2 linked regions of the Mytilus edulis genome follow. The protein of the gene in region 1 interacts with the protein of each later gene in a pairwise test. Links are inferred from orthologs where the notes say so. Each region holds a gene or a part of one and is shown on either strand. Other genes may lie near its edges.

Region 1 (7,916 bases):
TAATCACACACACAAATACCAAATAAGTTTTCAACTTTACAATATATAAAGATTAAATTTTGACAATAAAAGAGGTTTCTTATTAATCTATCTGATCTTTTGGCCTAATATATCTGATTTTTAGGCTGACAAATCCAAAGGAGCATGACCTAATGTCCATGTCAGACAGTATAAAAGCTGCTAATAGTTTTACTGTTGGACATGATATTAGGATTATTGTCTTCTTAGTTGATGATGGCAATCATTTTGTTAGACACATGTATATAAAAACTGCTACATTTTGATGCAAGGTTATCAAGACATAGCTACCAGAACTGAAACCTCCTCTTCAAACCCCTGGACATTTTCTCAAAAGGAATGTAATATTTGTACAGGAAACCTATAGACCACTTTCAAGTTCTTTGCATTTCCATAAAAAAACTTTGGTTTTAGTGAACATCATTCTGAATGAATTTCATGCGTTTTGGAGCATTATCACTTCCGTCCCATGTTAAGAGAGTGGGTGATAAGTACCTACAAAGCAAACATTATTTGTACTTTATCCTGCATAATGACATTTACTAAACCCTTGATGAACTTTTATAAAAGTTCAGGAATACAGGCACATGATTCCCTTTATTAGGTAAATGACATCATAAATGCATGCATATACATGTATAATTGAAACTTTTTTGGTGAAGGACATAACTTGAAACCTTGATGATGATGGAAACTAGCTTGAATGTTTCAAAACAACAAATAATTAAAAGCTGTATTGTAAGTTGTATGAGCTTCATGCTACCGACCTTATCAACATATTCATAATTTGAATGTGTTTTCCCAATTCATGTGATGATAATAGCATAGATAAACATTTCAAAATGAATGTAAACAGTCACTTTTACATACAGTATGTGTGTGCATTAACCCTCTTGCTGCCGAGTTTTTTTCTTGCTTTGTCGCGCCAAAAGCATCTTGAAGTTTCTTATGTGTGACGTTGCAAAACTTGTGCCTCTCTGTAGAACTGCGCTTTCCCGCCGTCCATGATTTTTCCTGCGTCAATGTAGCCGTAATTATGAAAACGATGTATAAGTAATTTTACAGATTAAATATGCTCCAAGATTGTCATAAACGATGTTTTTAATACAAGATTATTTAAAAATACAACTTTTAACCTTGTAATATATTTTTTTTTATCTTTCTTGTCTTAAAATAAAGTGAAAATAATATACCGATTGCTATACTAGCTTTAAAGGCGACTTTGTTTTATCTTTGTCAAGTGAAATGCATAAATGATTCTTAACCACTTATAAAATAGTAAAATATTTATTCTCGTTTTTTTATTAGATAATTGGTATAAATACTGTAAAAAAATCTCTCAAATCATATATAAACGGCAAAACAACGGCACTCAATGAAAATGAAAATATAAACAAAGCGTGTGCAAATTCATAAAAATAAATAAAATCTCCGAGCATCTGTTAATTGATAAATTGTTCTCATCGGATGTTGTCTAATGCTTAGTCCGTTGCTGTGTGTGTTACATTTTAATGTTGTGTCGTTGTTCTCCTCTAATATTTAATGCGTTTCCCTCAGTTTTAGTTTGTTACCCCGATTTTGTTTTTTGTCCATAGATTTATGAGTTTTGAACAGCAGTCCTACAAAGTAAAAGATCTGTGGTGAATGCCAGAAAAAAGAGGTTGCATCTGGGAATGGACATCTATGATATATATGATAGGAATGGAAATCATTGTGTCTACTTCTAATTTAACATCCCCATTTCGAATGAAAATAAACATTTTTAAGGCAGTGCTTCCTTGATGAAACAGGTTTAAAATGTATTGAAATATCGTATGGCAATACAAGTACATCGGTTAACATGTGTGTACTTTTACAAAAAAAATCCTATGTCAATCGTAGTATTTGAGCCCTAAATAAATTATCTAGTTCTTTTAAATAAAGCGTGTATGGAGTATTGTGAATGATTATTAATATTTAACGTCATCAAGTATAACAGTTATCTTTTTTATGATTTTTTATCAGGGATAAGATTTTTTCTTTATATGAGATATTCTGATTGATAGATGTACGAAAAAAAACGTAAATTTCTCGACAAAATGCAACATTTTACATGAAAATGACGAACTAGATAATTAGTTAACACGTTAAATAAGTTGGTATTATAGTACTAACAAGCTTATGATCCTGTATCATTTCTTGACATCCGTTTTAAGTATCCTTTTAAAGCATTTTATTCAGTTTGCTTCATTCCCGCCAAAATCGCCCTTTTGACGCCGTATTTTGACGTTGTCAGTGCCCCTGAGTATTGTGACGTTACAATGAACCTTTGACGTTCTACACAATCAACAAGATTTGTGTGTAGAAGCCATAAATGTCCCTTTGGCAGCAAGAGGGTTAATGCCACCTTTAATCATGAAAAATGCACTAAAAATCATTTCAATATCAAAATAAAATGTATATACCTGCAAGAATGACCGAATAAAGTCAAAACAACTTTTATTTATTGACTTAAAGAAGGACTACACAAATGACAAAGTGTATTTTCATTAGTAAGTGACCACCTACTGCACAGTATACTACAGTAGCATTGAGTTACATTAAATTTATAATTCTGTTGATTTTTTAGAATGTAAAAATGTGATTCAAATGTGAAATATTTACTCTGCGAGGCATAATGTCGATCAACGTTCAGGTACTTCTTAATAAAATAATTTCATAGCTGTATAATAAGTGTTATCGAAGTTACGGATAGGAAACATGTCCAAGCAAGTGCCTGAAGTGGGCCAAGAAATTCAAATTTTAGCGGGCACTGACATCAGATTATTTGTTAACTTATCAGAATATGTTACAATATCCATCTTTCTTAGATAAAACATGTTCAAAATCAGCATTTTATAGCTATATAAAAATTGATTTGTACAATAATTTCAATCAAATACCAATTTTTCAAAATATCTGTTTCCAAAAGCCGCCATTGTTGTTTACATATGCGACACTGTTTTGTTTACAAAAACTCAATAATTTAAGGAAGAAATTCCAATAAAAAAAAATATTTTCGAAAATAAAATTAACAGGTAAATTTTTCATACCATATTTTAAAAGTATAAACAGTGGGAAAATAGTTATTACTGGATCGAAATTCACTGCGGCTTTACGAAGTAACAAGTGCCCGGATTTTGTGTAAGTGTTGCCAGGCAGATCGTTTCATTCTTCTTCGCTAAAATCTGTGTTTTTATACCTTTATATGCTTTAAGGTAAAGTGAACTTTTAAACCTGCTAAACAGTAAAAGTATTTTAATTGTATGCAAAATGTAACCAGCTGGTAACCTCTGCAAAAGTTTTTAAATCCTCCTACCTTGTTGACAGGTTGTCCACACAGTCATAGGCAAATGTTTCTGAATTTTGTAACATATACATGTGTACATTTGTATCTATACCTTAATATAACACAAAGTACCCAATGCATTTGTGAGAAATAACGCTCAATCACGAACTTTTGTGATATATCAGTTCTGCGGTTGCAGTGTTCTCCTCTCCGGCCGTCATATCCTGCCGTACTCCGTAGTCTATAATCGGTATTCATGTCAGTTTGTTAGGACTTTGTAAATGTACTTTTTACATGAAGAATTTCTGCATTGACATCACTACGCTATTGCCAGTGTACAAAATTAGTGCAAAATGTCTTTAGTCTTTAGTGAGTGTCAACTTGACACTATAATCTCTCTGTATTAGATCGGTATCAGGTCCGTTCGCGCCCAAAACACTTTCGCATCCTACACGTTCGCACCTCGCATGTTCGCACCCAAGGTCCGTTCGCACTCTACACATTCGTGCCCAATTTTAATTCACATTCCAGTTGAATAATTGGAAAATTATGATTGTTGTTTAAAGTTGCTTTGGTGTAAATACTGAATGTATTTATAGCTTAATATGAGTAAAACTTTGAAGATTTTAAATGAAAAACACAAAAGATAATTGTTTTTAACAGCTTGGTCCCTTTGACCTGAAACAATAACACAATTAAATATAGCAATACACTATTATAACCAAAACATGATAACATTTATTCAACACAGAAGAAAAAAACGTAGTCAGAATCTCCTTTTATTTTAAAACAAGTCAATGAAACAAAAGTTATAGCAATACACTAACCAAAACATGATTAAGAGTTATTCAGCACAAAATAAAACGTTGACAGAATCCCACTTTATTTAGAAAGGATTATTAATTTTTTTAACAATACACTATCCAAAACATGATTAAGATTTGTTCAACACAAAAAAATGCTGTCTCACTTTATTTTGAGACGATGACAACAATTATACTTATTAGAATACACTTGACAAAAATTTGATTACAAAGTTATCAAACACAAAACCAATTAAAATTGGGGGCGAACATGTAGGGTGCGAACAGACTTTGGGTGCAAACATGTAGGGTGCGAAAGTGAAAGGGGGCGAACATGAGTGTGTGCGAACGGACCCGGATTCATTTAGATCACTCTGGTAATTTTATGTCGCTTTTGTATAAAACTCATTAGTACGTTTGTATTTATGATGTGGCACCGCAGAGAAAAATAAATAAAAAAATAAATAAAAAAATAAATCAATAAATAATTAACCCTTATAAAACCTTAACTATTTATTTTGTGAACCTTCCAGTATTTTTAATAAAAACCCCTAACAAATGTTGAATATCATCTATTATTTCTGTTGTTTCTAATAATACTTCTGATTCAAGTGTTAGTTTTGATGTTATGAAGTAAAGTGCAGAGCACAGTTTCTCTCTAGCCTCCTCATAATGTTCACAATACAGTAGATAAAGGTCAACTGTTTCTTTTTGTCCACAGCTGCATTTGTTGTTGAGTGCTGGGCATATCATTGATTTGTACGAGTTTAAATTACAATATCCTGTTCTTAAGCTAGTTGATATCCGATACATTTCAGTTGATGGTTTGTCTTTTAGAAGTGTATTTTTTACATTTTGTTGGGAGGAATAATATCTTTTTCCTTTACTACTGTTGTCCCATCGGTTTTGCCGTTTTAACATTACACTGTCTTTTGCTCCTTTTTGTATATATCTTGTTTTGTGACTATTGGAATGCTTTCTATTTTTTTCTGCCTCCTGTGTTGCCTATTTAGCTAGTTGGTCTGCTAGTTCAATACCTTGTATTTCAGCGCGTCCAGGGGTCCATTCAATGGAAACAATGATTCCTTCAGATTTAAGTGCCAAATACCAATTTTAATAACATGAATAGTTGCCGTAATTAACCGATTTCCAATTTAAAGTTAGAATTCCAATTGCTGATTGGCTGTCTGAGAAAATTTTGATGGATTCTGTGTTTTTTCTGTTGTTTTCTGGCTGTGTTAACTCCACATGTTCTGTGCTGCTTGGTATTAAAATAGCTTCCCCAGCCCACAACCTGGGTTTCCTCTGCAGGAGCCACCAGCGAAAGCTATTGTTGTATTTTTTTTTAGTTGATATATTTTTTCAAAATAATAGTCTTTCCCTGAAAAGCTTGTTCCTTTGATCTAGACTTTGAACTTCTGAGATTTTTCCAATACTCTGGTGGTGATTTTGAGGCTGCTAACCCTCGGAATTCCAATTCATACTATAAGGCCGTTAGATTTCTCGTTTGATTTACAGGGTTTAAGCTAGGATTTTGAGGGCTTTAGTCACTTTAGCGCGCTATGAAAATCAACCTTTTTTTTGTGTAACAGCAAGGGACCAAGGATTTATATTACTAGCTTCATCTTTGACTTTGTCAGATTTTAAAGGGCTTAGGCATGATTGGCAGTCTAACAGTATTATATGATTTGACTTTTGGCCCTTATTATGAAAGATTCTGACATGGGATGTGGAAACTTAGTTCACAATTTCTCTTCAGTTTGTTCCAGAGGACATTCCTGATCAACAAAAGTTAAGATTTATTTCTTTTTTAAACAAGGGTACACAGCAGAAATTAACTTGCAATGATAATATCACTGCATAATCATTATCCTTATAAAAAGTCTAAATCAATATTTGGAAATCTTTTCTATTAAGTTGGAACTGTATAAAATCCTTTTGGAACGAGTACAACGACTGAAAGGAGGTTGTAAATAAATCAAGAATAGATCACGTTTACTACTTTCGGTTTTAAAATGAAACGAAAACGGGAAGTGACACGTGGATGATAAAGTCCGGATTCATCAGGAATTTATCAGTTTTCGGTTGAATTTTTTTTAGTTAGAGCTATATATTTGTCTCTCTCGTTTAATTGATCTAAATGATTTCGTATTTTACATTTTTATTCAGAGTCTATAAATAGTCATAAGTACTTCCACGCATGCGTAGCACACAGTACAGGAAGCACCTGTTTAACTCGCGACGTTTTGAATACAGTTCTATATTTTAAATAGAAATTGTCGAAAGTTTTTGATGGCAATTTATATCAATTATGACGAAAATGCGTTCGAATGACGAATCTACGACAAATGATCTTCAAATTGTGATCGTTAGAGAAATATTGAAATTTCAAATGCGAACTGTCCGGGGGTAACCATTTCGATTAAATGACGAAACTATAATATACACCTGGTTGTTGAAATGTCAACTGACTGATTTTCCTGAGTAAATAATTATGATGGTCAACTATGAGGTTTATTAATAATAAACGGATTAGTGACCCATCTGATGGCGATAATCGGATTAGTTGTAATCACAACTTGTAACACCTGTTGAAAATGTTAATTACCTGAGGGTCATAAACTTGTCAAAAACATAGAAACAGGTAGATTTATAGTCCTTTATAGTATTTTAATGCGAAAATATTTTTTACACTTTCAAAATTTAAGTGACGAAATTGATTTGAAATACTTTCGTCAATGCGAAAACTCTTTCGTAAATTACGAAAGTGACGATCGCTAGCAAAATCACTGCCGTTTGAATTGTTTTACATTGTCATATCACGCCCTTTTATAACTGACTATGCAGTATGGGCTTTTCTCATTGTTGAAGGCCATACAGTGACCTATAGTTGTTAATGTCTGTGTCATTTTTGGTATCTTGTGTACAGTTGTCTCATTGGCAATCATACCACATCTTTTTTTTTATATCTATACCCTCAGAATCAATCTCTGTTGACCTCATCATGTCTTCAGACTGTAATACCATTCTTCCAATTGGTGAGATTATTTTTTCAGGTTCATTTATATTCTTTCAATATTCAAAAATTAGTTTAATAGGGATAGTGATTTTATATGATTTTATTTTTGCAATTTGCCTTAAACCGGTTTCTTTTCTTTTGAGGTCCAGTGGAAGAATTCCTGCTACTACTTCTTAAGTTTCTATACTAGCTGTTGTTGTGGTTCGTTTTTTATACCCCACACACGATAGTAGAGGGGCATTATGTTTTCTGGTCTGTGCGTCCGACCGTCTGTCCCGCTTCAGGTTAACGTTTTTGGTCAATGTAGTTTTTGATGAAGCTGAAGTCCAATCAACTTGAAATGGGCATTATGTTTTCTGGTCTGTTCATTTGTTTGTCTGTCTGTTCATCTGTCCGTGCATCCGTTCGCTTCAGGTTAAAGTTTTTGGTCAAGGTAGTTTTTGATGAAGTTGAAGTCCAATCAACTTGAAACTTAGTACACATGTTCCCAATGATATGATCTTTCTAATTTTAATGCCAAATTATAGTTTTGACCCCAATTTCATGGTCCACTGAACATAGAAAATGATAGTGCGAAGTTCAGGTTAAAGTTTTTGGTCAAGGTAGTTTTTGATGAAGTTAAAGTTACATCAACTTGAAATTTAGTACACATGTTCCCTAAGATGTGATCTTTCTAATTTTAATTTCAAATTAAAGTTTTGACCCAAATTTCACTGAACATAGAAAATGATAGTGCGAGTGGGGCATCCGTGTACACATTCTTGTTCTT
Region 2 (7,464 bases), on another chromosome or scaffold:
TTTTCCCGGCAATACTCTTGGGCTTGGCAGGAATAAATGCTGATATAAGAGCGTCAATATAATAATAAAATAGTCTTGGGAAGAAAATGCAGACGAAAAATATTAGTTTTTCAACAACTGTTGCCATTTCGTCTGTTTACCTGTTAACGACATGAAATGGAAAAACCCAAGAAGGTTTCGAATTCAACAAAATGAGAATGAATAAAGGAATGATAAATATGATCAAACAGGATTTCCGCACTCATTAAAATCACTCGAGGGGCACAGTGTTAGTTTTGCGACAATATTTTCCATCCTATGCAGGATATATATAAGAGACAATATCTAAAAAATTGTAAATTTTTAGTAGAAACTAAGTTATATAATGCACCATGTCCTGCCAATTAAACACTCATTCTTATATTTCTTCCAATAAAATATTGTAATTTAAATGTTCAACCCCCCTAAAATCATGTTGTCCCCTGTGTTTTTTTGAAAACTAAATCATTCAAATAATATCCAAATTAATTAAACAGGCGTCTGATTCTCACATATATGATATATTATATAATAAACTTGCCCCTAATTTGTCTTTTTATATTATAACTATAGCATGTAATAAAATTTTGCAAATTTTAAGAGAAAACAAATTTGTCCCCAGGGGTGATTTGCCTCCTGTTACCACTGGTTTTTTTTTTACCTGTGGAAACGTTTACAAGACCAAGAGTTATTTTCCCATTATGTATTGTGAAGAGCATCATTATGACAGTTTTTGTCCATTCGTTTTTGATGCGTTTTGTTATTTGATTTTGCCATGTGATTATGGACTTTCCCAATTGATCTTCCTCTAAGTTCAGTATTTTTGTGATTTTACTTTTTCCTGAATGCATTAGTACAAAGAAATAGTTGGAAGGCGGCCAGGTTTGAAAATTCAAGCCCATCCAAGGTAAGAATTTATAGAAAAATACTTATTGGTGTTCTATCCTGTTACAGCCTTTTCTTACACTTTCTGAGAATATTTTTAAGTGTGCACCACAGCATTAAGTGTGTTTTTATATCATCTTTTTAAAAGTTATATGTCACAGGAAATACACTTACATTTAATGTGATAAAAAGGACAAAAACTATCGCGTAATTCCTTTCTGTTACGTTCCGTCATGTTACCTGGTAAAAAGTAACAGCATAACCATCATCAGTAACAGGAAGGATGTTCAAGACAATGTCACTGAAGAATCGAAAAGTTAATCTACTATATGCCAACCATTTCATTTAATATAAGTTATCACCACCATATTAAATAAATTTCAAAATAAGATAAAGTATATTGAATAAAAAAATTGTTTTTTTGCTTTTGATAACAGCAGAGAACATTGTGCAATTCTAGTTTAGTAGATGGTAACAGAAAGGAATTTATTTTAGAATTTTTCATTACCTAGGCAGATTTTTCATCTTGCAAATACAGTTTCAAAGGATAAATGACATTGTTTGCTGTTATCTTCCAATTGTGACCAATTTAAAATGATGTATTTTTCTTAAACTTTAAAATAAAGCAGAAAAATCCTTTCTGTTACCAACTCTGTCCTCTTACCGTTGTGCTGTTACTCAAGATTCTTTCATGTTACCGACATATGACATATCTGACTATATTTAAGTATATTTCTAAACCTTTTGTATTGCAAATGCTAAAATCAATAATTGGCATTTGATAAACTATTGCAGGATATACTAGTAAACCACAAATATTGTCTTAAACTTATTCCTTATTCCCATTAGAAACTTTTTAAAATTGATTCACTTTGGTAACAGGAAAGAACTGGATTTTTTTTGTACCATTTTTATAATAGCCATTGTTTCCTTATTAAACAATTGTTTGAATTACAGACAACAGTTCCTAGATCCCCAATGTGTGTTCTTCGATTTGTGCTATTAAAATACTGGGTCTAAACAAAAAATTTTTGTTTTTTCTTATTTCCAAAAATTAGACTTTTTCAGATATTGTCTCATATAAGATAAGATATCTCATATATTTTATTTCCAATTTAGGGCCCACAAGGGATAGAGAATACAAGTATAAGGGAACAGAACATTGATTATCATAGATCTATGCATATAGAATTTAAATTACATACACAATTACAATACAATTAGACTGTAAATAATAAAACACTTGGTTTAAAATATATATGATATATCTATATGAGAAATTATTACATCTAACTCATATTGATTTGAATATGAAGAAGGGGATGAAATAATTTTAATTACATGTTAAAAAAAATTGGGTGCTGAACGAATCTTTATGTTAAGAAGTGATTTGGTCCAGTTAAAAATGTATAATTTTAGTACGTCTGAAGCTGTCAAACTGAATTATGACCCCCTTATCACAGAATAGTCATTATTTTGAGTTAGAGCTGGTAGAGGTTTCTATAATTTTGATATTATTTGTCCCACTAGTAGTATACTACATTGTAATATCTTTTTGAGAAAGAGCAGGTGCGATTTTTTCAATTTGAATTTATTGTCTAAAAGAAATGCACTACGAAATAACTGTGTTCTCGGGCCAGTTGAAAGCCAGCTACAACTAAACAAAATTGACAAATATCACGACTTTTGTGTCTAATCTAGTATTTGTTGATAGAAACGAAATGATCTGAACCAAAGTTTTAGATATCTTTTCTATATAAAAAGGGGCATTCAATTATATCCAATACTCCATTCACTAGGGATGATATACTAGTGTACACATGACATTTGATAATTTTAAGAGAGTTTTGACGGCTTCTCTCGGCTGGCGAGCATAACTTTGTTTATTTTTTTTATAAAATAAAAATATTTTTGAAAACAATTTGTGTAGACACGTGCCTAACGTGACTAACGGTAACTACGCTCATTCAAGAGGGTTCGACGACTTACAGAAAAGAGCGACGATTTACAGAAAAGAACCGAAAAGGACCGAAAAGGACCAAAAAGAACCGAAAAGGACCGAAAAGAACCGAAAAGGATATCGACTTTTTTTGTAATCGAAGGAAATAAGCAAATTGCAAATCATTGAAAACCTTATACTGTGAGAGGACTAATTTTAACTCACATGTATGTGAAAAATTACAGGTAGGGTTGGATGCCTATTTTATAGAATAGAAAAATAGAAAAGATTTTTTTTTATTCACCAAATAAGGGCCCCTAGGAGGGCATATAGCCATACAAACAATATATATATATATATATATGCAATACACAGACAATAGATAGATATGTAATATGAGTAATGAAAAAATACTACAGGAAACACGCAACAAAATAATAGCAATATACTCTAATAATTCAATAATACTAGTGTTGACATTGACTTATGCGCTCCAGGTTTATTAGTGTATTTTACCTATAAAAAGATAAACAATTTTCTAAATATTTACCTTAACAAGGACTGTTGGCAGTCAAAACTTTAACACTATAAAAAATCCATGTATATATACATGGTTTTAACTTTATTTAATAAATATATATGTATTCCTTTTCGGTTCTTTTCGGTCCATTTTCGGTTCTTTTTGGTCCTTTTCGGTTCTTTTCGGTTCTTTTCTGTAAATCGTCGCTCTTTTCTGTAAATCGTTGGACCGCATTCAAGAAACAACGTAACTGTATGCATGGGAATAATAGTTTGTATGTTTGCTTAGTCCAGACTCCAGGTTAGGGAAATCGTATTACAAGTATTTGAATGTAATACATGGAAGGGTTGAAATTCCGTGTACGTCTTATTTGACTATAAATAAAAAGATACCTACAAATCGCGTATGTCGACCAAAGTAAATAAATCGGTCAGTGGTAAACTCAGTGAATGTGACATTATGTTTTGATTTTTTCCTGAAAATATAAATATTGATATGAATAGGTCTTTCCAAAGCTCTGATAGGGGCAATGCAGAATATTTGGCCACGTGGCCATCACCAGAAAAATAAAAAAATAAATTCAGTGGTACAATAAATTCCACAACGGCTTACCATACGAAATAGTTATGTTTGCCAGATATCGGTCATTGCCAGCCCAAATTAAGTTTGTGTTGTCCCTAATCATGCTAATACGATTCCGTAGGATTAAGTCTATTCACAGGGATGAAATTATTTTGGCAAATTCAGGAACTATCAAAAGAAAATTTTATTCAAAATTTAATATTAAATGGTTTATAATCATTAAATACTTCAAACTTTCCTTAAATACTTGTCTGGGTCGATATAAGATGGTCCGAGTTGACTTAACATAATCGGTCCAAAACTTCTCCGAACCGACTTGTCCAATAATCTTTTTAACGCTAAGGTAACATTGATGTTGATTTTTTAATACTTATAAATGATTTTTTAATTTAAAAAAATCGGCGTATGAAGTTAATTAGCAGTTTTAGCTGATTTTGATCACAGTATGATTCCGGTACTAATTTGTATAATACAATCATTCCTTTATTCGCACACTGTGGATTTTCGGAACTTCTCTGGACCTAACGATCTCTTCCATATTAATTGTCAACACGTGAAACCTGTAAACATGGGAAAGGCAAAGAAAGTTAAAGTATCTAAAACTGAGGGCGAAACCGACAAAACCCAAACACTTGCAGATCAGATCTTAACAGATAAATCAGTTAAACTCAAAGGCCGAAATAAAATTCGTAACAGAAAGGACGAAGATGATTCGGTATAAACATGATATAAAGCATGATAAATGCTTTATTACATAAATTAGGAGATTTAATGTTAATCAAACTAGTAGCAGATGAGACAACACCAGAGTGCTAATGACGTGGACACAAGAAATTAAAAGTCATCTAAGGTTTTCAACAATGCAAAATACTAAACAGTCGATCAGCTATAACATGATAAATATTAGTCCAAATAATTATGACGTCTTGAAAGGCTATTATAATTTTTTTCTTTGACGCCTTACAAAAAATTATAATAGCCTTTCAAGACGTCATAATTATTTGGACTAGATAAATATAGTGCCCAGACAAGAGACAGGCTTATAAAATAGGTCATTTCTGGGGTAAATAATAAATAAATAAGCTTTATATAGAGTTGGCAAGGTATACAAACAAAGACAACATTAGCTCTAATGAGCTTTTAACCGATATGACATGGTCATGGGTACAAACCAAATCAGATCCGGGTCAATTCAGCTAAAGTGTGGCACGTTAAAACATATTTTGTGAGATCTCCCAATACCTCTAGCCAATGACGAAAAAACAAACACACAGCAATATGAATCCGGGTCCGTTCGCCCTGATTCATGTTCGCCCTAGTACCTGTTCGCCCTGATACCTGTTCGCCCAGGGTCCATTCGCCCTGATTTTTCTTTTTTTTTCTTATTGTTGTCTAGTCGCATTATTTTAAGTATTTGAACAAAATATGTTAAGTTTGTTGAAAAATTGACAGAATATTTATATTGCCGCAATCAATTTATCATTTTCACTTTGATTTGCAGAGTAGAATACTGGAATACAATGTATTTATCTTTATTGATATTTGTTAACAAAATAATTGTATTCAGTCAATCACAAATGTATGCAGTATGACTAGTCTTAGAGTATAAATAAATGAACTTGTAAATCCTTTTCATAATTAACAGTTCGTACATCATTGTTTTTATTAATTTCAAGCTGAATATTTTATCAAAACAAAACGTTTGTTTTTATTATTAATTCATCAAAAGACAATGACAATAATCAGTGATTATTTTGTCATTGAACAATTAACGATCCTAAACAAGCCATAAACTTTTAAATATTTCAATGTTTCCATAAATTTCAAGAATATACAAGATAAATATATCATAGAAATATCTGAATAAGTTTATTCAACTTCAATGCCCTGAATATTAATATTTTTATAGGAGGGCGAACGAACTCTGAGCAAACGGACCTAGGGCGAACATGTTATAGGGCGAACAGTCCCGATACCCAGCAATATGCACAGTAAAAATCAGCTTAAAAGAAGTCTGTGTCAGAATAGGTATCAAAAGAAACTAAGAAAAATGACATAATGTCTTTATTTTATTATGATGCCTCTTATTTTCTTGAATAACTTGTTTAAGTTCCATGTACATTGTAGCTATAGACCTTTGGCTGATAAATACCTCGGCAGTCCAATTAATTATTGTAACAACCTAAACTTCAAAACAGCAGAAATAAGTCCATATGAAACATTCATTCAAGAAAACAGTTTTTTTTTTGAGGAATGTGCATGCGCGTGGTACACCATTTACTTCAAGGTCAATCAGGCGCGTAGCTCCCTATACGCCAACACGCAGTTGCGTGCACATCAATTCGGCATGCAAAAAAAATAAATTGCAAAATAAAAATTTATAAATTAAAAATATAAAGGATACACATACGAGTATTCAAATGATATAATGTCATTAAATAGCGGCATTTGGTTTCAAAATTAAAGTTTTATTGCAGATGACAAAAACGGACAGTAACTTGAATCTATTACAAGATTATAATTTGTTATACTCTTGTAGTTTCGGAGAACATTTTACAGAGTACGGTTTATCTGTTTCGAATGCGATGTACCAATCGGCCATTAGATTTATCAGAACCCTTCGATATCGTTAAATATGCCGATGCAATGTGACTATCAAAGCCAATCACCCTGCAAACACGCAAAAACAGTCTTGGAAAGTCTCATTATATTTTGCGTCCATAGACCACATGATAATTTACGAGTAATATCTTTAATTAATATTCTTTAATATTGTTAAAAGTAGTATAACACTATAAAACGTAGCATAACACCAGCAACTGTCTTTTTCTCGGGATATATCAGTTTGTTTTGGGGATATAATGTTTTTCTTGTATTTCTCGGGAAATCGTGGTACCGGAAAATTGTTTGTTTTTCGGGTTTTGGCCATAGGACGGTTAATTAAGAAGCTACATGTACATAGGTACATGATAATTTATGGAACTGGAGTCGCGTCTGATATCAGTCAGAAAAATCACTGCTTTGCGCATATCTGCTTCCTCGTGTTGTAGGAAATACAACAAACGAACAAATCACAGCATTGTTTGAGACAAAAGAAACTGACTTGTCATGTACATTTTGTAATTTTGACAAATTCAATCGGGAGGTCGCTTGATGGCGAACACGCTGGATTACATATCGCGGGTGCTACCGCAGAGAGATCGTTCATTGTACTACGTCTGTTGAAAACATATGTACGATTAACAACGAACAACGACGGTTTAGCATCGCTAGCATTGCTGCATATTCATCGGGATTTTTGTGTGATTATTGACAAAGTAATAAAGAAGTTCGTTTCTGCTAAGACCCGAAGGGCAGATTTTTGACAATTTTTAGTAAATTCCATAACACAAAAATGTGTTGTTTATGTATTCAATTAACCATGCTTTATTCTATTTAGATGTTCTATTCAGAAGATTTTTGAATAGTTTTGCATTCATGAATTATGTATAAGTCCTATGTACGTCATGTAGCTTCTTAA

What was found.
Region 2: the proteins of centrosomal protein of 70 kDa-like (region 1) and bystin-like interact in binary tests that used the Homo sapiens proteins (3 or more experiments, as listed by UniProt). The link is inferred for Mytilus edulis from reciprocal best matches to the Homo sapiens genes CEP70 and BYSL.

What each region holds. Positions count from the first base shown.
Region 1 is NC_092345.1:56,957,188-56,965,103, reverse strand, and holds the start of centrosomal protein of 70 kDa-like, read right to left. Parts: upstream 3,009-7,916; 5' UTR 2,976-3,008; coding exon 2,940-2,975; intron 2,795-2,939; exon of another isoform or gene 2,674-2,794; coding exon of another isoform or gene 2,662-2,673; intron 1-2,661.
Region 2 is NC_092355.1:40,791,281-40,798,744, reverse strand, and holds the start of bystin-like, read left to right. Parts: upstream 1-4,449; 5' UTR 4,450-4,512; coding exon 4,513-4,659; intron 4,660-7,464. Other genes in the region: 17-beta-hydroxysteroid dehydrogenase 13-like, read right to left, coding at 1-127. UniProt on the Homo sapiens protein: Required for processing of 20S pre-rRNA precursor and biogenesis of 40S ribosomal subunits. May be required for trophinin-dependent regulation of cell adhesion during implantation of human embryos.